4 linked regions of the Anolis sagrei genome follow. Each later gene encodes a partner of the first gene's protein in a complex. Links are inferred from orthologs where the notes say so. Each region holds a gene or a part of one and is shown in the gene's direction. Other genes may lie near its edges. The genes, in order: STRIP2, STK24, STK26 and STK25.

Region 1 (7,054 bases):
GTATGAATGCTCAATATGCCCAAATGTGATCACTGGTGGAGTTTGGATAAAATAGACCTTGACATTTGGGAGTTGTCGTTGCTGGGATGTATAGTTCACCTACAATCAAAGAACATTCTGAACCCCACCAACAATAGAATTGGGCCAAACTTGACACACAAGACCCCCATGACCAACATAAAACACTGTGTTTTCTAATGGTCTTTGGTGACCCCTCTGACACCCCCTGGTGACCCCCCCCCCCCAGGGGTCCCAACCCCCAGGTTGTGAATCACTGGATTAGAGGGTCCTGTTCCTACTCTGGGGTGCAACAGACCAAACTATTGCCATCTTGAAACTCAACTTGAAACTCATTAACATCCCTCCCCACATCCAAAACACCTTGATCCTGGAACACAATCCCAGGCTGAGCTCCAGCAGTAAGTTCGTTGTGAGAAGAAGCTCTGTGAGAGTGAAGCTGTTTATCTGCTTGAGAAAGAAGCCCAGCGTGGAAGCAAAGAAGGAAGTATAAAGAGGTTTGTTTGTGTTATGGAGAAAAGAAAAGGCTCTTAAGGAAGATATAGTATTGGTCTATGTTTTTGTTCTTTTTATCACTGGGCTACTGATGCTGCTCCAGCAAAGGATCACCGCCTTCCCTCTCTCCTGAGGAATCTGTACAAGGACCAAGGAGCAACAGTCAGAACTGACCACGGAACAGGAGACGGGTTCAAGATTGGGAAAGGCGTGCGGCAAGGCTGCATCCTCTCACCCAACCTTTTTAACGTGTATGCAGAACACATCATGCGAGGATGTGCGGGGCTTGAGGAATGCAAAGCTGGGGTGAAAATGGCTGGAAGAAACATTAACAACCTCAGATATGCAGATGACACCACTCTGATGGCCGAAAGCGAGGAGGAGCTGAGGAGCCTTCTAATCAAGGTGAAAGAAGAAAGCGCAAAAGCCGGATTGCAGCTAAACGTCAAAAAACCCAAGATTATGGCAACAAGAATGATTGACAACTGTGAAATAGAGGGAGAAAATGTGGAGGCCGTGACAGGGTTTGTATTTCTAGGCGCAAAGATGAGTGTGGCCAGGAAATCAGAAGACGCTTCCTTCTTGGGAGGAGAGCAATGTCCAGTCTCAATCAAATAGTAAAGAGTAGAGACATCAGACTGGCAACCAAGATCCATTGCCTAGTCCAAGCCATGGTCTTCCCTGTAGTCACCTACGGATGTGAGAGCTGGACCTTCGGGAAGGCTGAGCGAAGGAAGAGAGATGCTTTTGAGCTGTGGTGTTGGAGGAAAGTCCTGAGAGTGCCTTGGACTGCGAGAAGATCCAACCAGTCCATCCTCCAGGAAAGAAAGCCTGACTGCTCGCTGGAGGGAAAGATACTAGAGACAAAGTTGAAGTCCTTTGGCCACATCATGAGAAAACAGGAAAGCCTAGAGAAGGGAATGATGCTGGGGAAAGTGGAAGGCAAAAGGAAGAGGGGCCGACCAAGGGCAAGATGGATGGAAGGCATCCTTGAAGTGACTGGACTGACCTTGAGGGAGCTGGGGGTGGTGACGGCCAACAGGGAGCTCTGGCGTGGGCTTGTCCATGAGGTCACAAAGAGTCGGAGACGACTGAACGAATGAACAACAACAACTGATGCTGGGTCACGCTGCTGCTGATAAGTACGTTTATGGGGAGGGTCTCCTTGCCCAACATAAACTGTGTTAATTCTACAGTGTGGATGCACCCCGTGTTCACCTTGCAGCCGTGTCCATACCGTTCTCGGTTCTTTCCGGTGTTGCAAAGGTACATAAATGTGCTTCCCCCCCCCCCCCCCCGCTTTTTGGAAACCTGGCTTGCCAATGGCAACCTCAGCCTTTCCTCTCCCACCTTTTTCTCACCTTTTTGGCAGGTGACCATAGCAACGGCCCACCTGTCCGCAAAACACAATCCGGAACAGTCCTGAAATAGCACCTGAGAGAGTGACACCTTTCAGTGGCCCCATGCGCACACACACCTGGCTTTCATGCAACACAATGGTTTTCAAAATGTTACACACACACACACACAATGACCTTCAGGCTATGTGACTAAGGAGTCTATGAAACAACACACACACACACACACACACATGTGTTATAGTATGTGTGTGTGCATAGAGTCTCATCTCCAAGATAAGTTTGTCCAGGTATCAGAATTGCATCTCCTGGGAGTTATAGTTTGGAGAGGCATCAACACTTTGGCAGACTCACACACGCAATAGGTGCCTGTGGTATATTGTGTGTGTGTGTAAGTTTGCAAATACACAGATACAGAAAACAGGGCTTGCAAAGGCAACCCATGCAATTTGCAATACAGCCCTTTGCAATAAGTGCTTATAATAGTTTGCAAACATATACAAGTCACACATATACAGGCCTAGCCTGGCAGACTCAAGGCAAAAGACCTTGTTAAACTACAACTCCCATTAGCACTGAGATGTGTAGAGTGAATGCAGCTAAACTGCCATGGCTCAATGATATTAACTCGTGGGAGTTGCAGTTTTGCAAGGTTTGAGGATTTCTCTGCCCTGCAGTGTTGGTGTCTTGTCAAACTACAACTCCCAGGATTCCATTAGCACTGAGGCATGTAGAACGAACACAGCTTGACATGAAGCAATGATATTAACTCACAGGAGTTGTAGTTTTACAAAGTCTGTGGACTTTTCTGCCATGCAATGTTGGTGTCTCATCAAACTACAACTTCCAGGACTTCATTAGCACTGAAGCATGAATAACCGAATGCAGCTTAATGGTATTATCTCATGGGAGTTGTAGTTTTACATGGTCTTAAACCTTATCTGCCAAATAATGTTGGGGTCTTGTCAAACTACAACTCCCAGGATTCAATAGGCATTTTCATTTGCATCCATTCTACAGTGTAGAATAGATGCACCATGCATATCTCGCCAAACTACAACTCTCAGGACCCTATAGCATTGGGCCATGGTGGTTCATGGGTCGTGGATGCAATGCAACCAGTGCTATGGAATGCAGGGACTTCCAGGAGTTGTAGTTTTACAAGGTCTGTGGTCTTCTCTGCAATATAATGTCAGTGCTTCACCAAACTACAACTCCCAGGACCCTATAGCATTGAGCCATGGTGGCTTATGGGGTGTGGATGCAGCGCAACCAGTGCTAGGGAATGCAAGGAATTGCGGGAGTTGTAGTTTTACAAGGTCTATGGACTTATCTGCAATATAATGTTGGTGCATTACCAAACTACAACTCCCAGGGCCCTATAGCATAGGGCCATGGTGGCTTATGAGTCGTGGATGCAATGCAACCAGTGCTATGGGATGCAAGGACTTGCGGGAGTTGCAGTTCTACAAGGTCTACGGACTTCTCTGCAATATAATGTTGGTGCTTCACCAAACTACAACTCCCAGGACCCCATAGCATTGAGCCATGGCGGCTTATGAGTCGTGGATGCAATGCAACCAGTGCTATGGGATGCAAGGACTTGTGGGAGTTGCAGTTCTACAAGGTCTATGGACTTCTCTGCAATATAATGTTGGTGCTTCACCAAACTACAACTCCCAGGGCCCTATAGCATAGGGCCATGGCGGCTTATGGGATGTGGATGCAACACAACCAGTGCTAGGGAGTGCAGGGACTTGCGGGAGTTATAGTTTTACAAGGTCTTTGGACTTCTCTGCAATATAATATTGGTGCTTTACCAAACTACAACTCCCATGGCGGCTTATGGGGTGTGGATGCAATGCAACCATTGCTATGGAGTGCTGGGACTTGTAGTTCGGGGAGGCGCCTTTGAGGGGAACTACAACTCCCAAGCTTTCCCTGCCCATAATACTCTAAATCTCTGCAAGCAATGCAAGCAGAAGCCCCGCCTCCCTTCTTCGCCTGCCGCCCTGGTGACAGCTCTCCCAACAGGGGTCTCCCTCCTCCGCGCCGCAGCCAATGGCCGGCGGGGGTGTGCGCCCAGGCCCCGCCCAGAGGCGCCGGGCAGCCAATGGCAGAGCAGGTGGGCGTGGCCGGTGCGGGGAAGGGCTGTCCCCAGCCCCACACGTGGCCGCCTTGCTGCAGGGCTTCCCGGCTGGAAGGAAGGAAGGAAAGCAGGCTGGTGAGCCATGGAGGAGCCGGGCAAGCCGGGAAAAGGCGCCCCACGACCCCAGAGGAGCCGCTCCCAGGTCAGAAGCCTCTCTTGGCACACTCTCCCAGGCACCCATTGCAAAAGGGGGACATGCACCCCTTGCAAAACTGCCCGGGGACCCCTTTTGAAAGCCCTGTTTGCTGTATTTTTGCATTTGCAAACTTATGGTGGGCACCTATTGCCAAGGACTGTATTGCAGGTTGCATAGGCTGCCTTTGCAAGCTCTGTTTTTTATATCTATTTGCAAACTTAGCATAGGCAGCTATTGCAAAGGATAATGTGTGTATTTGCAAACTATATATATATGTGTGTGTGTGATTGCAATCTGTAATATGCACCTATTGCAAAGGATGGTGTACACACATTGCCAATTGCATGGGGTGCCTTTTGCAGGCTATATATGTGTTTGTGTATACATATCTATGTTTGCAAACTATTATAAGCACTTATTGCAAAGGATAATGTGTGTATTTGCAAACTATATCTATATATATGTGTGTGTGTGTGATTGCAAACTGTAATATGCACCTATTGCAAAGGATGGTGTACACACATTGCCAATTGCATGGGGTGCCTTTTGCAGGCTATATATGTGTTTGTGTATACATATCTATGTTTGCAAACTATTTTAAGCACTTATTGCAAAGGATAATGTGTGTATTTGCAAACTATATAGATGTATATGATTGCAAACTAATATGCACCTATTGCAAAGGATGGTGTGCACACATTGCCAATTGCATGGGGTGCCTGTTGCAGGCTGTGTATATGTGTTTGTGTATACATATATATGTTTGCAAACTATAATAGGCACTAATTGCAAAGGTCTGTATTGCAAATTGCATGGGTTGCCTTTGCAAGTTCTATTTTTATATGTTTGCAAACTTACTATAAGCACCTATTGCATATATATATGCAAATATAGATATATGCAGATTGCATGGGCTGCCTTTGCAAGCTCTGTTTTTTGTATCAATTTGCAAACTTACCATAGGTAGCTATTGCAAAGGATAATGTATGTATTTGCAAACTATATATATATGATTGCAAACTGTAATATGCACCTATTGCAAAGGATGGTGTACACACATTGCTAATTTTGTAGACTATGTATATGTGTGACTTGTATACATATATATGTTTGCAAACTATAATAGACACTTATTGCAAAGGGCTGTATTGCAAATTGCATGGGCTGCCTTTGCAAGCTCTATTGTTTATATCTGTTTGCAAACTTACCATAGGCACTTATTGCGTGTGTGTGTGTTCTTGCAAACTATAATAGGCGTCTATTACAACGAACTGTGGGCACACATTGCCAATTGCATTGGGTGACTTCAAGCTATGTACCCTAGGTATGTGTCTCAGTGTGTATACATATATATGTTTGGAAAGCATAAGTCGCAGCTGTTGCAAAGGACTGTATTGCCAATTGCATGGGGGTGCCTTTGCGAGCTCTATTTTTATATCTCTGTCTTTGCAAACTTATCATCGCCACCTATTGCAAAGGATAATGTGATTTTGTAAGCTACAATATGCACATATTGCAAAGGATTGTATTGTGAATTACAAGAGATTCCTTGGCAAGCTCAGTTTTTATATCTATTTGCGAACCTATAGACACCTGTGAACATACATATGTTTGCAAACTAATATACACATATTGGGAAGGATATGCACATAATGCAAATTGCATGGGTGACTTGGCAAGATATGTGTGTGTGCATGTGTATATACACACACATATGCCAGTGACTTGCAAACTTGCACATGCTGCAAACTATATTGTCTGGGAGTTGCAAGGTCTAAAACAGGGCTTCCAAAGGCACCCAAGACAAAATTTGGGGGCATATTTTTCCTCTATATATTTGAAAACTATGATTAGGACTTAGTGTATTGCAAGTTGCATGAGGTGCAGCTACAAGTACTGTTTTGCCAACTATAACAGGCACATAATAAAAAGGATAATGTGCACACATGTATCATGTGCAAGCATTGCAAATTACAGAGGGTGACTCTATATATATGTTTGCAAACTATAATAGGCACATATTGCAAAGGATAATAATGTACACACATTGCCAATTACAAAGGGTGACTTTGCAAGGTATGTGTGTGTCATATATAGAATCATAGAATCAAAGAGTTGGACGAGACCTCCTGGGCCATCCAGTCCAACCCCATTCTGCCAAGAAGCAGGAATATTGCATTCAAAGCACCCCTGACAGATGGCCATCCAGCCTCTGTTTCAAAGCTTCCAAAGAAGGAGCCTCCACCACACTCGGGGGCAGAGAGTTCCACTGCTGAACAGCTCTCACAGTCAGGAAGTTCTTCCTCATGTTCAGATGGAATCTCCTCTCTTGTAGTTTGAAGCCATTGCTCCATTGCGTCCTAGTCTCCAGGGAAGCAGAAAACAAGCTTGCTCTCTCCTCCTCCCTGTGGCTTCCTCTCACATATTTATACATGGCTATCATGTCTCCTCTCAGCCTTCTCTTCTTCAGGCTAAACATGCCCAGCTCCTTAAGCCGCTCCTCATAGGGCTTGTTCTCCAGACCCTTGATCCTTTTAGTCACCCTCCTCTGGACACATTCCAGCTTGTCAACATCTCTCTGGAATTGTGGGGCCCAGAATTGGACACAATATTCCAGGTGTGGTCTAACCAAAGCAGAATAGAGCATGGGTAGCATGACTTCCTTAGATCTAGACACTATGCTCCTATTGATGCAGGCCAAAATCCCATTGGCTTTTTTTGCCGCCACATCACATTCCTGGCTCATGTTTAACTTGTTGTCCACGAGGACTCCAAGATCTTTTTTGCCAATATATATGTTGGCAAACCATAACAGGCACATATTGCAAAGGATGACGTGTATACTTTTATAATGTGCACACATTGCAAATTACTGAAGGTGTCTTTGCAACCTGTGTG
Region 2 (7,729 bases), on another chromosome or scaffold:
AGACCTGGAGTCTGTCAGAGTCTTACAGTCTTAGGATCCTCGTTCCTGGCTACAAGGGAGTCTTTTTTCTATTTTAGGTAGTAGTGGGGTAGAGTTGGCCTCAAATATGTTGCTAGAAATTGAAAGACATTTGAAGAATTAGACTGAAATGATAATGGTGACAGCAATGTATGGTTTTAAGACAGGAGTGGGCAACTTGTGGCCTCACTGATGTTACTGGATTCCAGTTCCTATAACCCTGGCAAACGTTGGCCCTCCATGTGTTTTGGACTTCAACTCCCACAATAACTAACAGCTTGCCGGCTTCAATTGTGGAAGTTGAAGTCCAAAACACCTGGAGGGCCAAAGTTTGCCCATGCCTGCTATAAGTGCTGCTTTTGGCTGGATCTACACTGCTCTATATCCCAGGGTCCCAGATTATCTGGCAATGTAGGCTCATATAATCCAATTCAAAGCCTTGCAAAAAACTTAAGGAAATACTTGATCAACAAGGGAAGACCTTGTTAGTGCCTGGAATTACCTGTGAAACTGCGGTTACTCGAATTATTTGGAAAATGAAGAAGATGGGGAGAAAGTGGGAAGTTACAGCTTTGCAGGTCCCCTCTGGCTGTTTATTGGAAGAGGGATAGCCAGCAGCTTGTGGGTGGGGAAGTGAAGAAAAATGATGACCACAAGAATATGTACATGTCTCAAACTTGCTGATGCGGTTGGTCTATTGCACTACATTGACATTTTTTTTGAAACGCTTTCTGCTGCCTAAATATGAGAGTCTCTCTCTCCCCACCCCTTTAATGGAGAAGGACAGCCTAGAAATGAGTTGAACATTGGTTTGAAGTGACAACCCCCAGTGGCACAGCAGGATAAACCACTGAGCTGCTGAACTTGCCGACCGAAAGGTTGGCACTTCAAATCCGGGGAGTGGATTTGAACCACCAACCTAACAGTTCAAAAACATACAAATGTGAGTAGATCAATAGGTACCACTCTGGCGGGAATGTAATGGCGCTCCATGCAGTCATGCCATCCACATGACCTTGGAGGTGTCTATGAACAACGCCAGCTGTTCAGCTTAGAAATGGAGATGAGCACCAACCCCCAGAGTTGGACATGATTAGACTTCATGTCAGGGGAAAATCTTTAGCTACTAACCATGATATTGTGCAATCACAAGAATGCCCTTTTGTGGCTGGGGCTTCTAATGTATGATCATGAAACAATAAAGGAGCATAATTTAATACATTTTGAAAAAAAAGTAAAATAATACATCTCAGTGACGTGATACACATCAGTGTACTAAACACTGTATTTAATGGGGTGTTTATATTTAAGATGACAACGTCGAGTCTAACATTAATGGCATAATTGCTACTCAGTGGCACATATTTTCTAGAATATGGAGATGGATGATCCTAGCAACCGGCCGCAGAAAAGCAGTGAAGAAAGATGTGGCTATGAAATTCTTCCTTGGCCTAATTAGACTGCCTTTGGTGTCGTTACGTTTTTGCAATGAGTTTGATCAACACCAATTATTTTAATTGTTGAAGAGTTTGGCTCTGGGTGTGACACAGTAACTAGGTTAACGCAGAAACTTAAGATAATTGATCATCCCACGAAAGGAATTCAGTGATTGCCTAGGGAAGGATTGTTATGAACAAATCCAAGATTTTCTTGTTATCTATGCAAATACATAGAATCCTATTGAGATTATATTTTCTAAAATTATTTGTTTTGCTTTCATTGTTATTTACCATTAACCCATTCACAGCAACAAATAGATAACTGAAGGGATATTTGCATCCTAGTTTATGTAAGACACTGGTGTGATTTACTTTGATGTGTTTCTTTTCTTGTTCTTGTATTTAAGCGCCAAACATTAAAAATCATTGCGGCGGCATGGAATACACAATTAAACTGGAACTCGCTGTCCCTTATTTACTATGGCAGATTTGTAAAGTGGAAGCCAGTGTGGCATAATGGTTTGAACACTGGACTATGGCATTGGAAAACAGGTGTGAATCCACACTTGGACCTTTTAAGTTCAAAAATCTTGTGATAGATTTACCTTTGGGTCTCCATAAGCCAATAATGACTTGAAGGCATACAACAACCCCATTAGAATCATAGAGTTGAAAGAGACTCCCCTGTCCAGCGCTCTGACATGCAGGGAAAGCCCAATCAAAGCACCCCTAATGGATGGCCATCCAGCCTCGGCTTAAAAGCCTACGAAGGAGCTTCTACCACACTCTGAGGCAAAGACCCACTGCTGAACAGCTTTCATGGTCAGAAAGTTCTTCTCCAGGGCAGCAGAAAACAAGCCTGCTCCCTCTTCCTTATGGTATCCTTTCACATATTTATACTAGGAGCCCCCGGTGGCACAGTGGGTTAAACCCCTGTGCCGGCAGGACTGAAGACCCGACAGGTCGCAGGTTCGAATCCGGGGAGAGGCGGATGAGCTACCTCTATCAGCTCCAGCTCCTCATGCAGGGACACGAGAGAAGCCTCCCACAAGGATGATAAAACATCAAATCATCCGGGCGTCCCCTGGGGAACGTCCTTGCAGACGGCCAATTCTCTCACAACAGAAGCGACTTGCAGCTTCTCAAGTCACTCCTGACACGACCAAAAAAAACCATATTTATACTTGGCTATCATGTCTCCTCTTAACTTTCTCTATTGCAGGCTAAACAGACCCAGATCTTTAAGATGCTCCTCATAGGACATGGTCTCCAGGCCTTTGATCATTTTAGTCACCATCCTCTGGACACCTTCCTTGTCAATATCTCTCTTGAATTGTGGTGTCCAGAATTGGACACAGTATTCCAGGTGTTTCTGCCCAAAGCAGAATAGAGGGGTAACATGACTTCCCTCAATCTACACCAGGCATCACCAAACTGTGGCCCTCTGATAATGCAGCATTTCTCATTAGGAACCACATCCACTGTTTTAACATCGTGAGATGTATTCCACACTGGGCAATTTCCCACAGAAGAAATACTAAAAGTACAAGATTGTTGGGACGATGTGAGCTTGCAACATCATTTAGAAAGAAAGCAATGTCTGGAAGGTCTGGAGTACAAGCCCTATGAGAAGCAGCTTAAGGAGCTGGGCATGTTTAGCCTGAAGAAGAGAAGGCTGAGAGGAAACATGAGAGCTATGTATAAATATGTGAGAGGAAGTCACAGGGAGGAGGGAGCAAGCTTGTTTTCTGCTGCCCTGGAGACTAGGATGCGGAAAAATGGCTTCAAACTACAAGAAAAGAGAGTCCACCTGAACATTACTTCCTGACTGGGAGAGCTGTTATGCAGCGGAACTCTCTGCCCTGGAGTGTGGTGGAGTCTCCCTCTTCGAAGGCTTTTAAACAGAGGCTGGATGGCCATCTGTTGGGGGTGCTTTGAATGCGATTTTCCTGCTTCTTGGCAGGGGGTTGGACTGGATGGCCCACGAGGTCTCTTCCAACTCTATGATTCAATGTATTGTTGAAGGCTTTCATGGCTGGAACCACTGGGTTGCTGTGTTTTCCGGGCTGTATGGCCATCTTCCAGAAGCATTCTCTCCTGACGTTTCGCCTGCATCTATGGCAGGCATCCTCAGAGGACCTCACAACCTCTGAGGATGCCTGCCATAGATGCAGGCGAAACATCTTCTGGAACATGGCCACGCAGCCCGTAAAACTCACAGCAACCTAGAATAAAAGCAGCTTGGCACCACTTGCAATGCTGTGGGATCATGGGAGCGGTAATACTGTAGCACTCATTGGCAGGGAAGGCTGAGGGGTTTTTCGCGTCAGGAGCGACTTGAGAAACTGCAAGTCGCTTTTGGTGAGAGAGAATTGGCCGTCTGCAAAGGACATTGCCCAGGGGACGCCCAGATGTTTTGATGTTTTTTACCATCCTTGTGGGAGGCTTCTCTCATATCCTCACATGAGGAGCTGGAGCTGACAGAGGGAGCTCAACCCTCTCTCCCCGGATTCGAACCCCTGACCTGTCGTTCAGCAGTCCTGCCGGCACAAAGGTTTAACCCATTGCTCCCCCGGGGGCTCTCCTACAACTCCAATGCTTCCACAGCCTTGAGTCAGGGCGGTTTAGAGTGGCAGCAATACCCTTTGCCTACAAAAGTGGAAGACCTCGCGAGACTACGACTCCCGGGAATCCATGGAGGGGGGATGAGAAAGAGAGAGAGAGAGAAAGCGACCGTCGTGGTGACGCACTGAGGAGGCGGGGTCTACACGGCCCCCGCCCCGCCCGTGACGTAGGAGGCGGGGTGGCAAAAGCTCCTCCCCTTCTCTTCCTCTGCGCATGCCCGCCCAGAGCAATTAAGAGTGGCAGCAATACCGTCTGGGTACTAAAGTGGGAGACCTCGCGAGACTACGACTCCCGGGATTCCATAGTGGTGGGGTGGAGATGAGAAAGAGCGAGAGAGAAAGCGACTGGCTTGGTGACGCACTCGGGAGGCGGGGTCTACACGGCCCCGCCCCTTCCGTGACGTAATGCCGGGTGGCAAAAGCTGCTCTCCTCCTCTGCGCATGCCCGCCTCCCTCTCTCTAGTTAAGAGTGGCAGCAATACCCTTTGCCTACAAAAGTGAGAGATCTCGCGAGACTACGACTCTGCATTCCGTAGTGGGAGGGGAGGAATGAGAAAGAGAGAAACCGACTCGCTTGGTGACGCACTCGGGAGGCGGGGTCTACGTGGCCCCGCCCCAACCGTGACGTAGAAGGCCGGGTGGCGAAAACCCCTCCCCTTCTTGCTCTGCGCATGCCCGCCTCTCTCCCTCGCGCTCTGTCTCTCTCTGTGGGGCGCTGCTGGGGGCGGGGGAGGGAGGCGATGGGGCTGAGGTGATTCCTCCTCCTCCCCTTCCTCCTCCTCCTCCTCCTCCTCCTCAAGCGAAGGCCACGGCGCTGGAGAGGCAGCGGGAGCAGCAGCGGTGGCGGAGGAAGAGGAGGCGGCGGCGGCGGCGGGGCTTCCGCCGTCATCATGGCCCACTCGCCGGTGCAGCAGCCGGGCCTGCCGGGGATGCAGGTGAGCCTGAGGAAGGGGCCTTTCGCCGTTTTCCCCGCCGCGCATGCGCGCTCGCCTCCTGCGCAGCCCCTTCTCCTGAGGAGGCTCCTCTCCAGGCAGGCTCTCTCCTTGGGAAGGGCCTTCAAGGCTCGAGGAGGAGGCGGCGGGGCTTGCAATAGAGGCACCACGGAGTGACCACTCTTTCCCCAGGAAGCCAAGCGGCATTTGTGTCTCTGTGTGTGTGCATACTTTGCCTGTGGGTTTCCTCTCCCTTGAGTTAGGGGTCGCCATCCCTCCCCTCTCCCCCCTCCCTCCCCTGCTAACATCGATTATATCCCATTTCCACCCTGCTTCTCTCTCCTAAGGGCTTGCACAGTAATTGGGTTTTTCATGCACTATCCAGCCCTAAACAAAACCCCTGCAGTTCAGAAGAGTTGACCTTCAGCGTGTCCTGGATTATAATACTAACAATAATAATCTGAAGTGCCTCCCTCCCTTTGCCCTTGTTGGATAGATGTACAGGCTTCTTGTTTACCTTTTTCTTCCTTGTATTATCTATCTTGCTGTCCATTTCGGGCAAGTCAACACTGAGATGGTGTCCTTGAGGCAATATTTGTTGTGGATGGGAGTGCATTGGGTGGGATTGTTTTAAAGCAGGCATGGGCAAACTTCAGCCCTCCAGGTGTTTTGTACTTCAACACCCACAATTCGGAATTGTGGGAGTTGAAGCACAAAACACCTGGAGGGCTGGAGTTTGCCCATGCCTGCTTTAAAGGATAGATAGGACAGCCTCCCTCCATGTTCTGGCCTAGCAAAGAGGAAGAGGTGGGTGCACACACCAGTTATAGTGACCTAGTGGTAACATTTCTTCTGCCTGTCCTTCAGCGGCTGCAGCAGCAGAAAGCAGCCCCTTGGTCTTGTTTTGGCTGGAAAGATTGGACATGCACAAAGGGAGGTAATAGAAAGGGGAGCTGGGCTGTGGAGAAGTGTGCTTCCTTTTCTTCCTAAGGCATGCCTGTGGGGGAATGAAGGGGAGGCATATTCAGGGTGCAAGCTTCAGGGAGTATATGGAAATATATTTATCTTTGGTGGAGTTAACCAGGCATCTTCATAGAACAGAACAAGTCTTGTTCTGAATATTGAACTGCTAGAATCATAGTGTTGGAAGAGACCTCGTAGGCCATCCAGTCCAACCCCTTGCCAAGAAGCAGGAAAATCACATTCAAAGCACCTCAATAAATGGCCATCCAGCCTCTGTTTAAAATCCACCAAAGAAAGAGCCTCCACCACAGTTTGGGGCAGAGAGTTCCAATACTGCATACTAGCTCTAAGAAAAGCGTGAACTGAAGGACTGATAATTTTCATTGCATTTCCTTAAATGAAAGGCTTAGGGTGAATCTAGACCATGGAATTGATATAGTTTGGCACTATTTTAACTGCTGTGTCTTAATGCTTTGAGATGCTGGGAATTGTGGTTTGGTGGGACACCAACACTCTTTGGCAGAGATGGCTAAAGGTCTTGTATTACCACAGCATTCATAATTCCAAAGCATTGAGCCGTGGCAGCTAAGATAGTGTCAGATTGCATTAATTGTGCAGTGTAGATGCATCCTTGCTTAAGAACTTCCTGCTGCAGAGTTCATTACTTCCTGTCTGACAGCCCCTGTGCATAGCATTAGCTAGGGGCCAAGTTCACTGGTTAACAGCAAGTGAAAGCTTTTGAAATCCTTGGGACAGTGTAATCCAATTTTGGTGTATATATCCTGTGATATAAGTAGAGAAAATACATTTGACCCACAGTATTTATAACAGCAGTGGGTACTCGGTTTGCCCCCCAGAACAACAGCCTGCTGTCTTCATAAAAACCTCCCCCTTCTTATTCACCCATAGTTGTGCATAGCTCTTCCCCACTTCCATTCTCAAACACACACACACAGAATTCAAGATCCAGTCTTTAGTTAATTTCTCCCTCCCATACCCTGGATCAGAAAGATATTGCTGCATACAGGCAGCTTCAAGTTACAAACAACTCATAGTTGCAAACGAGCATGAAACAACAGGAAGTAAAAGAAATATACCCTTCGGAAGGGAAATTCACTCCTATCATGGGGAAAATATGTCTCCACTGAAATTTTATCACTAATCCTTGTTTCCTCAACAAGCCAATTTTTTCCAAATCACAGGGACAGAAAGTGAGGTGAAATCTTCTGTACAGGGGCACAGACAGTAAAACAAGCACCAGAGGGGTGTTAACCCTTCCCTATGTCATCCAAACCTCGTTCTCTCTTTCTCTTTCTCTCTCTCACTGGAGTTACACTTAAAAATGTAGCTGTTCCAACTTACATACAAATTCAACTAGAGAACACACCTACAGAACCTACGTTATTTGTAATTTGCGGACTGCCTGTATACTCATAGTCTGTAAGTCGATTTCGTTGCTGAATATACTAATAGTTTATAAGTTAAGGGCAGGTTTTGGGACCAAAATGATGGATTTTGACATGACCCATGAATAAGTTGAAGTTCATTCTATGAGAGGGGGAAAGCACCAATGCCACTTGAGATGTATCTCCCCACCCAGGTATTTCAAAAATGTGGAGAGAGAGGGGCCTGTGCGGTTTTTAAAATTTCCTCTTGGGACAGACTAAACTCTCACCTTTTGACACCACTCAGAGAATGGTGTCAAACTATCAACTCACATTGATAGTTGATAAGTCGACTGAGGGTTCTGGGG
Region 3 (7,329 bases), on another chromosome or scaffold:
TGCTTTGAATGCAATTTTCTTGGCAGGGGGTTGGACTGGATGGCCCATGACGTCTCTTCCCACTCTATGATTCTAAGGAGCCTCCACCACACTCCAGGGCAGAGAGTTCCACTGCTGAACGGCTCTCACAGTCAGGTTTTAAACAGAAGCTGGTTGGCCATCTGTCAGGGGTGCTTTGAAAGCAATTTTCTTGGCAGGGGGTTGGACTGGATGGCCCATGACGTCTCTTCCCACTCTATGATTCTAAGGAGCCTCCACCACACTCCAGGTCAGAGAGTTCCACTGCTGAACGGCTCTCACGGTCAGGTTTTAAACAGAAGCTGGTTGGCCATCTGTCAGGGGTGCTTTGAAAGCAATTTTCTTGGCAGGGGGTTGGACTGGATGGCCCATGACGTCTCTTCCCACTCTATGATTCTAAGGAGCCTCCACCACACTCCAGGTCAGAGAGTTCCACTGCTGAACGGCTCTCACAGTCAGGTTTTAAACAGAAGCTGGTTGGCCATCTGTCAGGGTGCTTTGAATGCAATTTTCCTACTTCTTGGCAGGGGGTTGGACTGGATGGCCCATGATATCTCTCCCAACTCTATGATTCTATGAGGAACTGCAAACTTGGCTTAAAAAGTTCGAGGACCCTTGCTTTAAAAGACATCATTTCCGTCCAAGCTAAATGCATTTGTTGTTGTTTCGATCCAAACTTCCCGCACAACAATATTCCTTATTCTTGGCCATTGATCCTCACCCCACTCATCCAGGCAGAACATTTTGTGGTCCTGTGCAAAGCCAGTTTTTGTTGATTTTACATTAAATAAAAAAGTCACTGTCAAGTATGTTTTGGGGTGGGTTTTATTTATTTTTTGCAATGGAGCCCAAATTTAATTGTAGTTGGCAACGTTTGGGGAACATTCAAAGGTATGCATTCATTGGGCTTCAGAGTGTCCATTGAGTCAAATCCCTATTTCAGGAGTTGAGTTTCGCCAATGTTTGGAATCCCTCCCTATGTTTATTCTCTTTTACAGTATTCCCATTCCGTTCAGTCCGCTTTCAAATCCTGAATTTCCTGCTGGCCTCCTTGGACCCACAGGCTAAAAATAGCCTAAATGCCATCCATTTCGGTGGAGTGGAAAATAACCAAATTGGACGGAGAACCGCAATATGTTTTCACTTACAGTACTGTCTTTCACTGCTGTGGATGCAGTCAAAAGATGTGTCACAGGGCGCATCCACACTGTAGATTTAATGCAGTTTGACAGCACTTGGACTGCCAGGCTCAATGCAGCGCAGAGAGGGATAAAGACCCCGACAAACTACAACTCTTGAGATTCCATAACATTGCAAAGTAAAAACAAAACAAAATACTGAAACCCCCTTTGGCCCACCCTGTATATATAAATATCTTTATTCATCCCCAGCTCTTCATTTAAACACGTATCCCCCTCCGGAATGCACCCCCAAATTGCCCTCACTTCTATTGACTCCCATTCTTAGGTCTCCTGTGTTCGTCCTCAAAAAAAACCCCACTTGAATCCTAGTTCCTCCTTCAGTTGCCACCGACACACCTCACTTGTGTCGTCAAAGGGACCCTATACATTTCTCATGGTTCCTTCTGAACCCCCAAATTTGCCCCATTATCCTCCTCAGCTCCATTTAATTCCACTACTTCCCCCCACCAACTCTCTTGACCACTCTTTGCTTTCTTCTCCTCCTTCCTTCTTATGGCTTCCTCCTCCTGTTCTCTCTCTACTTCTTTCCCTTTTCCTCTACTTATGGCTTCCTTCCTTTTCCTCCCTCCGCTCCTTCTTTCTTTCTTCTTCTTCTTCTTCTTCTTCTTCTGGCTTCCTCCTCCTGTTCTCTCTCTCCTTCCTTCCATTTTCTTCCTCTTATAGCTTCCTTCCTTCCTAACTCCTCTTTTCCACCTTCCTTCCTTCCTCCTCTTATGGCTTCCTTCCTCTCTCCTTCCTTCCTCCTCCTTCTTGTGTTCTCCTTTCTCCTTCCTCCTCTTCTCTCTCCTTGCTTCCTTCCTGCCTTCTTCCCCCTTCTTCTTCTTCTTGTGGTTTCCTCCCTCCTTCCGCCTCTTCGCTCTCTCTCCTTCCTACCTTGCTCTCCTTCCTTCTTCTTATGCTTTCCTTCCTCTTTCCTCCTCTTCTCTCTCCTTTCTTCCTTGCTCTCCTTCTTCCTCTTTTGGTTTCCTTGCTCCCTCCCTCCTCTTCTTCATACCCTTCTTCCCCTTCCTTCTTCTTCTTGTGGTTTTCTTCCTCTTCTCTCTCTCTCTTCTTCCTTCCTCTCCTTCCTTCTTCTTCTCTTCATGCTTTCCTTTCTTCTTCCTACTCTTCTCTCTCCTTCCCTCCTTGCTCTCCTTCCTCTTCTTCCTACCCTTCTCAGCCTTCCTTCTTATACTTTCCTTCCTCTTTTCTCTCCTTCCTTCCTTCCTTCCTTCCTTCCTTCCTCCTCTTATGGCTTCCTTCTTCCCTCCTCTTCTTCCTACCCTCCTTCCCATTCCTTCTTCTTCTTGTGGTTTCCTCTACCCTTCCTCCTCTTCGCTCTCTCTCCTTCCTTCCCTGCTCTCCTTCCTCCCCTTTCTTCTTCTTCTTCTTCTTATGGTTTCCTCCCTCCCTCCTCTTCTCTCTCCCTTCCTTGCTTTCCTTCCTCCCCTTATGGCTTCTTTCCTTCTTCTTCCTACCCTTCTCCCCCTTCCTTCTTATGGTTTCCTTCCTCTTCTCTCTCCTTCCTTCTGGCTTCCTTCTTTTTCTTCTTCCTACCCTTCTTCCCCCTTCCTTCTTCTTCTTATGGTCTTCTCTCTCCTTCCTTCTCTTATGGCTTCCTTCCTTCTTCTTCTCCTTCCTCCTCTTCTTCCCCCTTCCTTCTTATGGTTTTCTTCCTCCTTCCTCTTTTCTCTCCTTCCTTCTCTTATGGCTTCCTTCCTTCTTCTTCTTCTTCCTACCCTTTCCCCCCTTCCTTCTTCTTCTTATGGTTTCCTTCCTCCTCCCTCTTTTCTCTCCTTTCTTCTGGCTTCCTTCTTCTTCTTCTTCTTCCTGCCCTTCTTCCCCCTTCCTTCTTCTTCTTATGGTTTCCTTCCTCCTTCCTCTTCTCTCTCCTTCCTTCTCTTATGGCTTATTTCCTTCTTCTTCTTCCTAACCTTCTTCCCCCTTCCTTCCTCTTCTCTCTCCTTCCTTCCTTGCTCTCCTTCCTCCTCTTATGGCTCCCTTCTTCTTCCTATCCTTCTTCCCCTTCCTTCTTTTTCTTATGGTTTCCTTCCTCCTTCCTCTTCTCTCTCCTTCCTTCTGTTATGGCTTCCTTCCTTCTTTCTTCTTCCTACCCTTCTCTCCCTTCCTTCATCTTCTTATGGATTTCTTCCTCCCTCCTCTTCTCTCTCCTTCCTTCTGTTATGGCTTCCTTCCTTCTTCTTCCTACCCTTCTTCCCCCTTCCTTCTTCTTCTTATGCTTTCCTCCCTCCTTCCTCCACTTCTCTCTCCTTCCTTCCTTGCTCTCCTTCCTCTTCTTCCTACCCTTCTTTCCCTTCCTCCTTCTTCTTATGGTTTCCTTCCTCCCTCCTCTTCTCTCTCCTTTCTTCCTTGCTCTCCTTCATCCTCTTATGGCTTCCTTCTTCTCCTTCCTCCTCTTCTTCCCCCTTCCTTCATCTTCTTAAGGTTTCCTTCCTCCTTCCTCTTCTCTCTCCTTCCTTCTGTTATGGCTTCTTTCCTTCTTCTTCTCCTTCCTACCTTTTCCCCCCTTCCTTTCTTCCCTCCTTCCTCCTCTTCTCTCTCCTTCCTTCCTTCCTTGCTCTCTTTCCTCCTCTTCTTCCCCTTCCTTCTTCTTCTTATGGTTTCCTTCCTTCTTCCTCTTCTCTCTCTTTCCTTCTCTTATGGCTTCCTTCCTTCTTCTTCTTCCTACCCTTCTTGCCCCTTCCTTCTTCTTCTTATAGTTTCCTTCCTCTTCTCTTTCCTTCCTTCCTTGCTCTCCCCCCTTCCTTCTTCTTTGTATGGCTTCCTTCCTCCTTCCTCTTCTCTCTCCTTCCTTCTCTTATGGCTTCCTACCTTCTTCCTTCCTTCCTGGTCTCCTTCTTCCCTTTTCTTCTTCTTATAATGGTTTCCTCCCTCCTCTCTCCTTCCTCCTCTTATGGCTTCCTTCCTTCCTTCTTCTTCTTCCTACCCTTCTTCCCCTTCCTTCTTCTCCTTATGCTTTTCTCCCTCCTTCCTCCTCTTCTCTCTTCTTCCTTCTTTCCTTCTTGCTCTCCTTTCTCCTCTTCTTCCCCCTTCTTTCTTCCACTTATGCTTTCCTCCTTCCTCCTCTCTTTCCTCCTCCTTCTCCTCCTGGGCCTGCCCTCTTCAGGGGCGGAGGCTGAGGAGAAAGAGGCGAGGCCAAGAAGAGTGAGGCGAGGCGGCGAAGGGGGGAAAGGGAAGGAGAGAAGGCCGCCAGGAGGAAAGAACCAGGCCGGGCCTTCACTGCTGCTGCTTCACTTCACTTCTGCCGCCGCCTTTGGCCGAAGGAGGGAGGCGCAGAGAGAGGGGGAGCGCGCTACTCGAGGCCGGGGCTGAGGCGGAGGCCTAGGCCTCCCTCCCCTCCTTCCCTCCTTCTCTCCCTCCATGATGGCGTCCTCCTGAGACGGAGGAGGCCCTTCCTTCCGCGCCGCCCGGGGGAGCGGGTCATGGGCTTCGGCGCCGGAAGGAGACGAAGAAGAAGAAGAAGAGGCAAAGAGAGGCAGGCCCAGGTGAGGCCTGGCCTCGGGGATTGGGGGTTGTGTGTGGATTTGGGGTTGTGCTCCTCCCCATAGAAGAGTTGCCAAGTGGGCTTCTTGTGTGTGGATTTGGGGTTGTGCTCTTCCCCATAGAAGAGTTACTTGTGTGTGAATTTGGGGTTGTGCTCCTCCCCATACAAGAGTTGCCAAGTGGGTTTCTTGTGTGTGGATTTGGGGTTGTGTTCTTCCCCATAGAAGAGCTGCCAAGTGGGCTTCTTGTGTGTGGATTTGGGGTTGTGCTCTTCCCCATAGAAGAGTTACTTGTGTGTGGATTTGGGGTTGTGCTCCTCCCCATACAAGAGTTGCCAAGTGGGTTTCTTGTGTGTGGATTTGGGGTTGTGTTCTTCCCCATAGAAGAGCTGCCAAGTGGGCTTCTGGTGTGTGGATTTGGGGTTGTGTTCCTCCCCATAGAAGAGCTGCCAAGTGGGCTTCTTGTGTGTGGATTTGCGGTTGTGTTCTTCCCCATAGAAGAGCTGCCAAGTGGGCTTGTTGTGTGTGGATTTGGGGTTGTGTTCTTCCCCATAGAAGAGCTGCCAAGTGGGCTTCTTGTGTGTGGATTTGGGGTTGTGCTCTTCTCCATAGAAGAGTTACTTGTATGTGGATTTGGGGTTGTGTTCCTCCCCATAGAAGAGTTGCCAAGTGGGCGTCTTGTGTGTGGATTTGGGGTTGTGTTCCTCCCCATAGAAGAGTTGCCAAGTGGGCTTCTTGTGTGTGGATTTGGGGTTGTGCTCCTCCTATAGAAGAGTTGCCAAGGGGGCTTCTTGTGTGTGGATTTGGGGTTGTGTTCCTCCCCATAGAAGAGTTGACAAGTGGGCTTCTTGTGTGTGGATTTGGGGTTGTGTTCTTCCCCATAGAAGAGCTGCCAAGTGGGCTTCTTGTGTGTGGATTTGGGGTTGTGCTCCTCCCCATAGAAGAGTTGCCAAGTGGGCTTCTGGTGTGTGGATTTGGGGTTAGGGTTAGGGTTAGGGTTAGGGTTAGGTTGTACTCCTAACTCATTGGGTTAGGGTTAGGGTTAGGGTTAGGTTGTACTCCTAACTCATTGGAGAGTTACTAAGGGGGCTTCTTGTGTGTGTATTTGGGGTTGTGCTCCTCCCCATAGAAGAGTTGCCAAGTGGGCTTCTGGTGTGTGGATTTGGGGTTGTGTTCTTCCCCATAGAAGAGTTGCCAAGTGGGCTTCTGGTGTGTGGATTTGGGGTTTTACTCCTAACCCATTGGAGAGTTACTAATGGGGCTTCTTGTGTGTGGATTTGGGGTTGTGCTCTTCCCCATAGAAGAGTTATTAAGGGGGCTTCTTGTGTGTGGATTTGGTGTTGTGCTCCTCACCATAAAAGAGTTACTAAGGGGGCTTCTTGTGTGTGGATTTGGGGTTGTGCTCTTCCCCATAGAAGAGTTATTAAGGGGGCTTCTTGTGTGTGGATTTGGGGTTGTCCTCCTCCCCATAGAAGAGTTGCTAAGGAGGCTTCTTGTGTGTGGATTTGGGGTTGTGTTCCTCACTTTTTCCCACAGGCCAGGGATTCAGGAGGCTGTGGATGAGGGGTTGTGTTCTTCCCCATAGAAGAGTTGCCAAGTGGGCTTCTTGTGTGTGGATTTGGGGTTTGCTTGCCCATAGGCTAGGGGTTCAAGGGGACTGTGGGTGAGGGGTTGTGTTCTTCCCCATAGAAGAGTTACTAAGGGGTCTTGTGTGTGGATTTGGGGTTGTGTTCCTCCCCTTTTCCCATAGGCCAGGGGTTCAGGGGGCTGTGGATGAGGGGTTCTGTTCTTCCCCATAGAGGAGTTGCTAAAGGGGCTCCTTGTGTGTGGATTTGGGGTTGTGTTCCTCACCTTTACCCATAGGCCAGGGATTTAGGGGGCTGTAGATGAGGGGTTCTGTTCCTCCCCATTGACTAGTGACTGTAGGTTGGGGTTTTTCCCCATAGAAGAGTTGCTAAGGGGTGTATGTGTGGATGAGGGATTGTGTTCCTCCCCATAGAAAAGTTACTAAGGGAATTTCTTGTGTGTGGATTTGGGGTTGTGTTCCTCTCCTTCTCTATAGGCCGAGGGTTCAGGGAGACTGGGGATGAGGGGTTGTGCTCTTCCCCATAGATTAGTGTCTGAGGAGGCTTCCTGTGTGTGGATTTGGGATTGTGTTGCTCTCCTTCCCCATAGGCCAGGACTTCAGTCGAACTGTGGATGAGGGGTTGTGTTCTTCCCCATAGAAGAGTTGCTGAGGGCGCTTCTTGTGTGTGAATGAGGGGTTGTGTTCCTCTCCTTCCCCATAGGCTAGGGATTCATGGGGATTGTGGATGAGGGATTGTGTTCCTCCCCATAGAAGAGTTGCTAAGGGGGCTTCTTGTGTGTGGATTTGGGGTTGTGTTCCTCTCCTTCCCTATATGCTGAGGATTCAGGGGGACTGGGGATGAGGGGTTGTGCTCTTCTCCATAGACTAGTGACTGGGGAAGCTTCCTGTGTGTGGATTTGGGATTGTGTTGCTCTCCTTCCCCATAGGCCAGGGGTTCAGAAGAACTGTGGGTGAGGGGTTGTGTTCTTCCCCATAGAAGAGTTGCTGATGGGGCTTCTTGTGTGTGGATGAGGGGTTGTGTTCCTCTCCTTCCCCATAG
Region 4 (7,047 bases), on another chromosome or scaffold:
CTGAAATTTTATACCTGCTTCTGGGTATATTTGACCTGCTGGTTCTAAAAATTGCACCAGTTTCCCCCTACCGGCTCTAATTTTTGAGATACAGAACATATGCCATCTACCAGAGCTTAGCACAACAGGCTAAACCACTGTGTTGCAGAAAAATACTGCCGATCAGAAGGTCAACAGTTCGAGCCCAGGTCAGGGTTAAGTACCTTTGGTTAGCCCCAGCCCACCTAGCAGGTTGAAAGCAGAAATGCGAGTAGATAAAATAGGTACTGCTTTTAGCGGAGAGAAGTGCTCTTAAAGACATCCTTGGCATGGAAGATGGAGCAACAGTACACCCCCCCTCCCCCCCACACACACACAGCTGGTCAAGCACAGCCTCAAAGATGCCGGAAATAAGATGGGAAAAACTGCCTTTACCTCTGTTGTGTTGTCTGTTCTTGTTATCGTATAATCGGTATTGAATGTTTGCCGTATGTATGTTCTATAAAGCCACTCTGAGTCCTCTTTGGGGTGAGAAGGGCGGAGTATAAATATTGTAAATAATACCAGTTGCTATCTCTTCACTCATAGAAAACCATGATTTTTGTTGTTTATTCATTCAGTCGCTTCCGACTCTTCGTGACCTCATGGACCAGCCCACACCAGAGCTCCCTGTCGGCTGTCACCACCCCCATCTCCTTCAAGGTCAAGTCAGTCACTTCAAGGATATCATGCATCCATCTTGCTCTTGGTCAGTCTCTCTTCCTTTTTCCTTCCATTTTCCCCAGCATAATTGTCTTCTCTAAGCTTTCCTATCTTCTCATTATGTGGCCAGAGTACTTCACCTTTGCCTCTAATATTCTTCCCTCCAATGAGCAGTCGGACCTTATTTCTTGAAGTATAGACTGGTTGGATCTTCTTGCAGTCCAAGGCACACACATACATACACAATACTTACTCTCACACAAAACTTTAATACAGAACGTAGGCTGCTATAGCAATTAGCAGAAGGGTATGTAAAACTAAAGGTTTTCTACTGATAGGCAGGGCCAGATTCACGGATATTTTTTTTAAAAATTTTAAAACACTGGGAGATAGGACATTGTAAATTATAGGGAGGAGGCTCTGGGAATGAGGAAGGATTTCATTGCACAAACCATAAAATAAAGTGCTTTTAAGGACATTTTGCGCAAAATGTGGTCAGGGAGAATCTTACATTAAATTACTGAAAGGCACATTGGAATAACCAGGTTTTCAAATTCCTCCTGAAGATTGCCAGTGTGGGGGCTTGCCTAATATCTCTGGGGAGTGAGTTCCAGAGCTGAGGGGCCACCACAGAGAAGGCCCTCAACAGAAGGGTAGGTAAAGGTTTTCCCCGGCATTAAGTCCAGTCGTGTCCAACTCTGGGGTGTGGTGCTTATCTCCATTTCTAAGCCGAAGATCTGGCATTGTCTGTAGACACCTCCAAGGTCATGTGGCCGGCATGACTGCATAGAGCGCTGTTACCTTCCCACCGGAGTGGTACCTATTGATCTACTCACATTTGCATGTTTTTGAACTGCTAGGTTGGCAGAAGCTGTGGCTGACAGCAGAAGCTCGCGCCGCTCCCCGGTCAACAAGCTCAGCGCTTTAACCCACAGTGCCACCGGGGGCTCCTCAACAGAAGTGTGCCAAAGGTCAAATAAACATAAAGGCATTTATATCAGTTAGTACTGAACTATCATAGTGTTGACATTCTTGGGAATTTTCGTACAATTTCCTTTCAACCACTTGAGCAATCGGACCCCACCCTTTCTGTAAACTAAGAACCAGCCATTCTGGCCAAAGCAACTTTACCTATTCTTTTGGGTTTTATCTAAACCAAATGAAGCGTAAACAAAGGTTGGAGATAGGCACCGCACCTGCCTGCCTGGTTGGGTAATCCAGCCAGATGTATGCAGCCAAGCCTTTGCTGACGGTTTGTTCAATAACACAGGCACTCTTGTCTAGAATCATAGAGTTGGAAGAGACCTCATGGGCCATCCAGTCCAACCCCCTGACAAGAAGCAGGAAAACTGCATTCAAAGCACTCCCGACAGATGGCCATCCAGCATCTGGGTTGTTGTAGGTTTTTTTGGGCTATATGGCCATGTTCTAGAGGCATTCTCTCCTGACGTTTCACCTGCATCTATGGCAAGCATCCTCAGAGGTTGTGAGGTCTGTTGGAACTAGGAAAATTGCGTTTATATATCTCTGGAATGACCAGGATGGGACAAAGAACTCTTGTCTGCTGGAGCTAGGTGTGAATGTTTCAACTGACCACCTTGATTAGCATTTGATGGCCTGGCTGTTGTTTGGTGTAGCTTGTTAGTGCCTGGGGGAATCTTTTGTTGAGAGGTGATTAGCTGTCCCTGATTGTTTTCTCTCTGTTGTTTTGCTGTTGTAATTGTAGAGTTTTTTTAAATACTGGTAGCCAGATTTTGTTCATTTTCATGGTTTTCCCCTTTCTGTTGAAATTGTCCACATGCTTATAGATTTCAGTGGCTTCTCTGTGTAGTCTGACATGGCGGTTGTGAGAGTGGTCCAGCATTTTTGTGTTCTCAAATAATATGCTGTGTCCCAAACACGAATCAAGGAACATGAAAGGCACTGCAGACTAATTCAACCAGAGAAGTCAGCCATAGCAGAGCACCTGATGAACCAACCTGGACACAGCATAGTATTTGAAAACACAGAAATGCTGGACCACTCTGACAACCACCATGTCAGGCTACACAGGGAAGCCATTGAAATCCACAATCCTGTGGACAATTTCAAGAGAAAGGAGGAAACCATGAAAATGAACAAAATCTGGCTACCAGTATTTAAAAAACTCTAAAATCAGGACAGTAAATAAAGAGAAAGATGAATTCCAGACAGAAAACAATCAGGGCCAGCTAACATATCCCAACAAAGGATTCCCCCAGAAATGCTGTATTCTCAAATAATATGCCTCTAGAACATTGTCATATAGCCCGAAAAACCCCACAACAACCCAGTGATTCCAGCCATGAAAGCCTTTGACAATACATCCAGCCTCTGGGTTGTTGTAGGTTTTTTCGGGCTATATGGCCATGGTCTAGAGGCATTTTCTCCTGACGTTTCGCCTGCATCTATGAGAAGCATCCTCAGAGGTAGTGAGGTCCTCACAACCTCTGAGGATGCTTACCATAGATGCAGGCGAAACGTCAGGAGAAAATGCCTCTAGACCATGGCCATATAGCCCGAAAAAACATACAACAACCCAGTGATTCCGGCCATAAAAGCCTTCGACAATACATCCAGCCTCTGTTTAAAAGCTTCCAAAGAAGAAGCCTCCACCACACTCTGGGGCAGAGAGTTCCACTGCTGAACAGGTCTCACAGTCAGGATGTTCAGATGTTATTTCCTTTATTGTAGTGTGAAGCCATTGTTCCGCGTCCTAGTCTCCAGGGCAGCAGAAAACAAGCTTGCTCCCTCCTCCCTGTGACTTCCTCTCACATATTTATACATGGCTATCATGTCTCCTCTCAGCCTTCTCTTCTTCAGGGTAAACATGGTCAGCTCTTTAAGCCGCTCCTCATAGGGCTTGTTCTCCAGACCCTTGAACTGCTCCCTCCTCCCTATGACTTCCTCTCACATATTTATACATGGCCCTCATCATGTCTCCTCTCAGTCTTCTCTTCTTCGGCTCTTTAAGCCGCTCCTCATAGGGCTTGTTCTCCAGACCCTTGATCATTTTAGTCGCCCTCCTCTGGACACATTCCAGCTTGCTGAAGTCCAAAACACCTGGAGGGCCTAAGTCGGTCCAGGCCTAATGTAGATACATTCTAGCCTGGAGGAGGCATTCTTTGAGAGAGGATAGATAGAGGATGTGCCTCTGTTTGTGTCTCCTCACAAACTCTCTTTCCCAGACACCTCCGCGCCTCTGGAGAGGCTGGCCGCGGATTGTCGCAATGCACGCCGGTTATTGCAGTCCCTGCTCCACTATATCCTAACGGAAGCTCGGAAGAGAAGAACTACCTTTCCCAGAAAGCCTCGTTCTGGGATAGGTTCCTGCGCATGCCTGTTTGCGCTCCCGCTCCTTTCCCCCCTCCCTCCTTGCCTGCCTGCCGCCCTTGCCGTTTGCTGTTCCCGAGTTCTCTCAGTATCCTGGGCTGGTCGAGAGCGGAGGGAGGATGGACGGGACGGAACAGCGGGGCTCAGGTGAGAGGAGAAGGAGAACGGCAATGGAACGCGGCTGGCTCGGCGCGGAGGGAGGGTGGCGGGACAGCAGCAGCAGCCCGTTGCCATGGCAAGGTGTCTCCAAGGGGCTGGGTGGAGCTCTCTCTCTCTCACTGAGGTGGGGGCAGGCCCATTGCGTCACTGCCATGGGGGGGGATTCGAACCTCTGTGGACTATACCATCTGATTGAGGGACGGGGGACGACCAATAGATTCTATCCCATTCATCAGAAATTATTATTATTATTATTATTATTATTATTATTATTTTAAAAGGTATTATTATTATATCTGTAATCATATATATATATTGTATCAATGTATCTATAAGGCTAAAACTCTTGTACTAATTCAGGCTGCATCTACAGCAGGCCTGGCCAACTTGGGCCCTCCAGGTAATTTGGACTACAACTCCCACAATTCCTAACAGCCTAGCGGCTGTTAGGAATTGTGGGAGTTGTAGTCCAAATCACCTGGAGGGCCCAAGTTGGCCCAGGCCTGATCTACAGTGTATACAGTTTGACTCAGTTGAATTTCCATGGCTCAGTGGTATGGAGTCGTGGGAGTTGTAGTTGCTCAAAGGTCTTTCTCTGCCAAAAAGTGCTGGTGCCCCACCAAAACAACAATTTCCATTATTCTATTGCATTGAGCCATGGCAGTTAAAAGTGGTCCCAAACTGCATTAATTGTACTGTGTAGGCGCAGCCATTGGTTCCATCCTGGAATTCGTAGCTCAAGATTATCTCCAGAGCCCCTCCCTCCAGCAAAAATATAGTAATATCTATATAAATAAAAATGTAATGTCAGTTTGTGGGATTAACGTAACTCAAAAACCACTGGCCGAATTGACACCAAATTTGGACACAGTATACCTATCAGGGCAACGAGTGACCAACACTGAAAAACACAGCGGAAGAGACTTAAAAAGCCAAAAAATAAAAATACATTACAATGAATGCGCAAAACCACATTTATACATATATACACACAAAACACATATACACAGACTGGGCCACAGCAACGCGTGGCAGGGGACGGCTAGTATAATACTAATTTTGTGCTGTGGTAATATTATAATGTATTATATGTGTATATATATCTATATCTTGTAAGCTGCTCTGAGTCCCCTTCGGGGTGAGAAGGTTGGCATATATATGTTGTATATAAATAAATAAATTTGTGCTATAACCATATATACACACACAAAATACATATACACACAGACTGGGCCACAGCAACGCATGGCAGGAGATGGCTAGTATTATAATATACTAGCCGTCCCCTGCCACACATTGCTGTGGCCCAGTCTCTGTATATGTTTTGTTTGCGTTTATATGTGTGTGTGTATATGTGTATATATGTGGTTTTGCGCATGCGTTGTAATGTAAATTTTTTTGGCTTTTTGAGTCCCTTCCACTGTGTTTTTCAGTGTTTTTATGAGTGATGGTCACTCGTTGGCCTGATAGGTGTCTTGTGTTCAAATTTGGTGTTGTCCAGTGGTTTTTGAGTTATGCTAATCCCACAAATGAACATTAGATTTTTATTTATATAGATTGTATACACATCGAATATTGATAATAATATTATCATATCATACACTATAATACTAATAATAATACAATGTAATAGTTATATAGTTATATATAATAGTTATATAGTTATATATTTTATATTACATGTAATATTACTAATCATATTACAGTATAGTGGTATAGTACAATATAGTAATATAGAATACTAATATTGTGCTGTGCTAATATTATAATATATTGTGTACACATATAATATTGATAATAATGTTATCATGTAATATAATACTAATACAATATAATTATTTTATATTTCATATTACATGTAATATTAGTAATAATGTTACAGTACAGTGGTATAGTACAATATAGTAATATATAATACTAACATTGTGCTGTGCTAATATTATAATATATTGTATAAACATATAACAATGATAATATTATAATGTAATACAATATAATACTAATAATAATACAATATAATAATTACATATTTTATATTACATGTAATATTACTAATAATATTATAGTATAGTGGTATAGTACAATATAGTAATATATAATACTAATATTGTGCTGTGCTAGTAATGTAATATATTGTATACACATAGAATATTGATAATACTATAATATAATACAACATAATACTAATAGTAATACAATATAATAATTTTATACTTCATAATACATGTGATATTACTAATAATATTACAGTAGAGTGGTATAGTAAATATAATAATATATAATACTAATATTGTGATGTTCTAGTAATGTAATATATTGTATGTACAGGTATCTTGTAAGCCGCTCTCAAGTCCCCTTCGGGGTGAGAAGGGTGGGATATAATTGTTATTATTATTATTATTATTATTAATAATAATAATAATAATAACAACAACAACAACAACAATAATAAACTGTGTTATTCCATACGATGTTGCTGTGGCAATTAAAGTGTTGTCATTGTTCGGTGTGAGACATTTTTTGGTGCAGAAGTTTGTATTAATCCCAAGATGGAAGTAGCCCATTGGAAGTACTAGTCGTCTATTATTATTATTATTATTATTATTATTATTACTACCCTGTTTTCTCTCTCTTCAAAGCAGCTCTTTTATCTTTTAAGGTGGCAATTTAAATAAGAGCCTTTCAGCGTGATTCAATTGTATTTCCCCCCCTATGTTTTGTTCATAGTGTAAGTGATCCCAACAAGAGACAGAAAACCCTCTTCTGTTTGAGAGGACTGGTGCATGGGTCTTGTGCCAATCTCCAGCCATGGCTCACCTGAGGGAATTTGCCAACCAGGTAAGCGAGAATTACGGA

Evidence for each region.
Region 2: STRIP2 (region 1) and STK24 share a complex: the UniProt entries of both Homo sapiens proteins name them as parts of the core of STRIPAK complex. The link is inferred for Anolis sagrei from reciprocal best matches to the Homo sapiens genes STRIP2 and STK24.
Region 3: STRIP2 (region 1) and STK26 share a complex: the UniProt entries of both Homo sapiens proteins name them as parts of the core of STRIPAK complex. The link is inferred for Anolis sagrei from reciprocal best matches to the Homo sapiens genes STRIP2 and STK26.
Region 4: STRIP2 (region 1) and STK25 share a complex: the UniProt entries of both Homo sapiens proteins name them as parts of the core of STRIPAK complex. The link is inferred for Anolis sagrei from reciprocal best matches to the Homo sapiens genes STRIP2 and STK25.

Annotation. Positions count from the first base shown.
Region 1 is NC_090025.1:195,300,414-195,307,467, reverse strand, and holds the start of STRIP2 (striatin-interacting protein 2), read left to right. Parts: upstream 1-4,033; 5' UTR 4,034-4,102; coding exon 4,103-4,162; intron 4,163-7,054. UniProt on the Homo sapiens protein: Plays a role in the regulation of cell morphology and cytoskeletal organization. Required in the control of cell shape. Calmodulin-binding scaffolding protein which is the center of the striatin-interacting phosphatase and kinase (STRIPAK) complexes.
Region 2 is NC_090023.1:115,845,588-115,853,316, forward strand, and holds the start of STK24 (serine/threonine-protein kinase 24), read left to right. Parts: upstream 1-4,725; 5' UTR 4,726-4,971; coding exon 4,972-5,016; intron 5,017-7,729. UniProt on the Homo sapiens protein: Serine/threonine-protein kinase that acts on both serine and threonine residues and promotes apoptosis in response to stress stimuli and caspase activation.
Region 3 is NC_090030.1:23,303,607-23,310,935, forward strand, and holds the start of STK26 (serine/threonine-protein kinase 26), read left to right. Parts: upstream 1-4,321; 5' UTR 4,322-4,705; intron 4,706-7,329. UniProt on the Homo sapiens protein: Serine/threonine-protein kinase that acts as a mediator of cell growth. Modulates apoptosis. In association with STK24 negatively regulates Golgi reorientation in polarized cell migration upon RHO activation.
Region 4 is NC_090023.1:226,720,276-226,727,322, forward strand, and holds the start of STK25 (serine/threonine-protein kinase 25), read left to right. Parts: upstream 1-4,041; 5' UTR 4,042-4,179; intron 4,180-6,918; 5' UTR 6,919-6,999; coding exon 7,000-7,029; intron 7,030-7,047. UniProt on the Homo sapiens protein: Oxidant stress-activated serine/threonine kinase that may play a role in the response to environmental stress.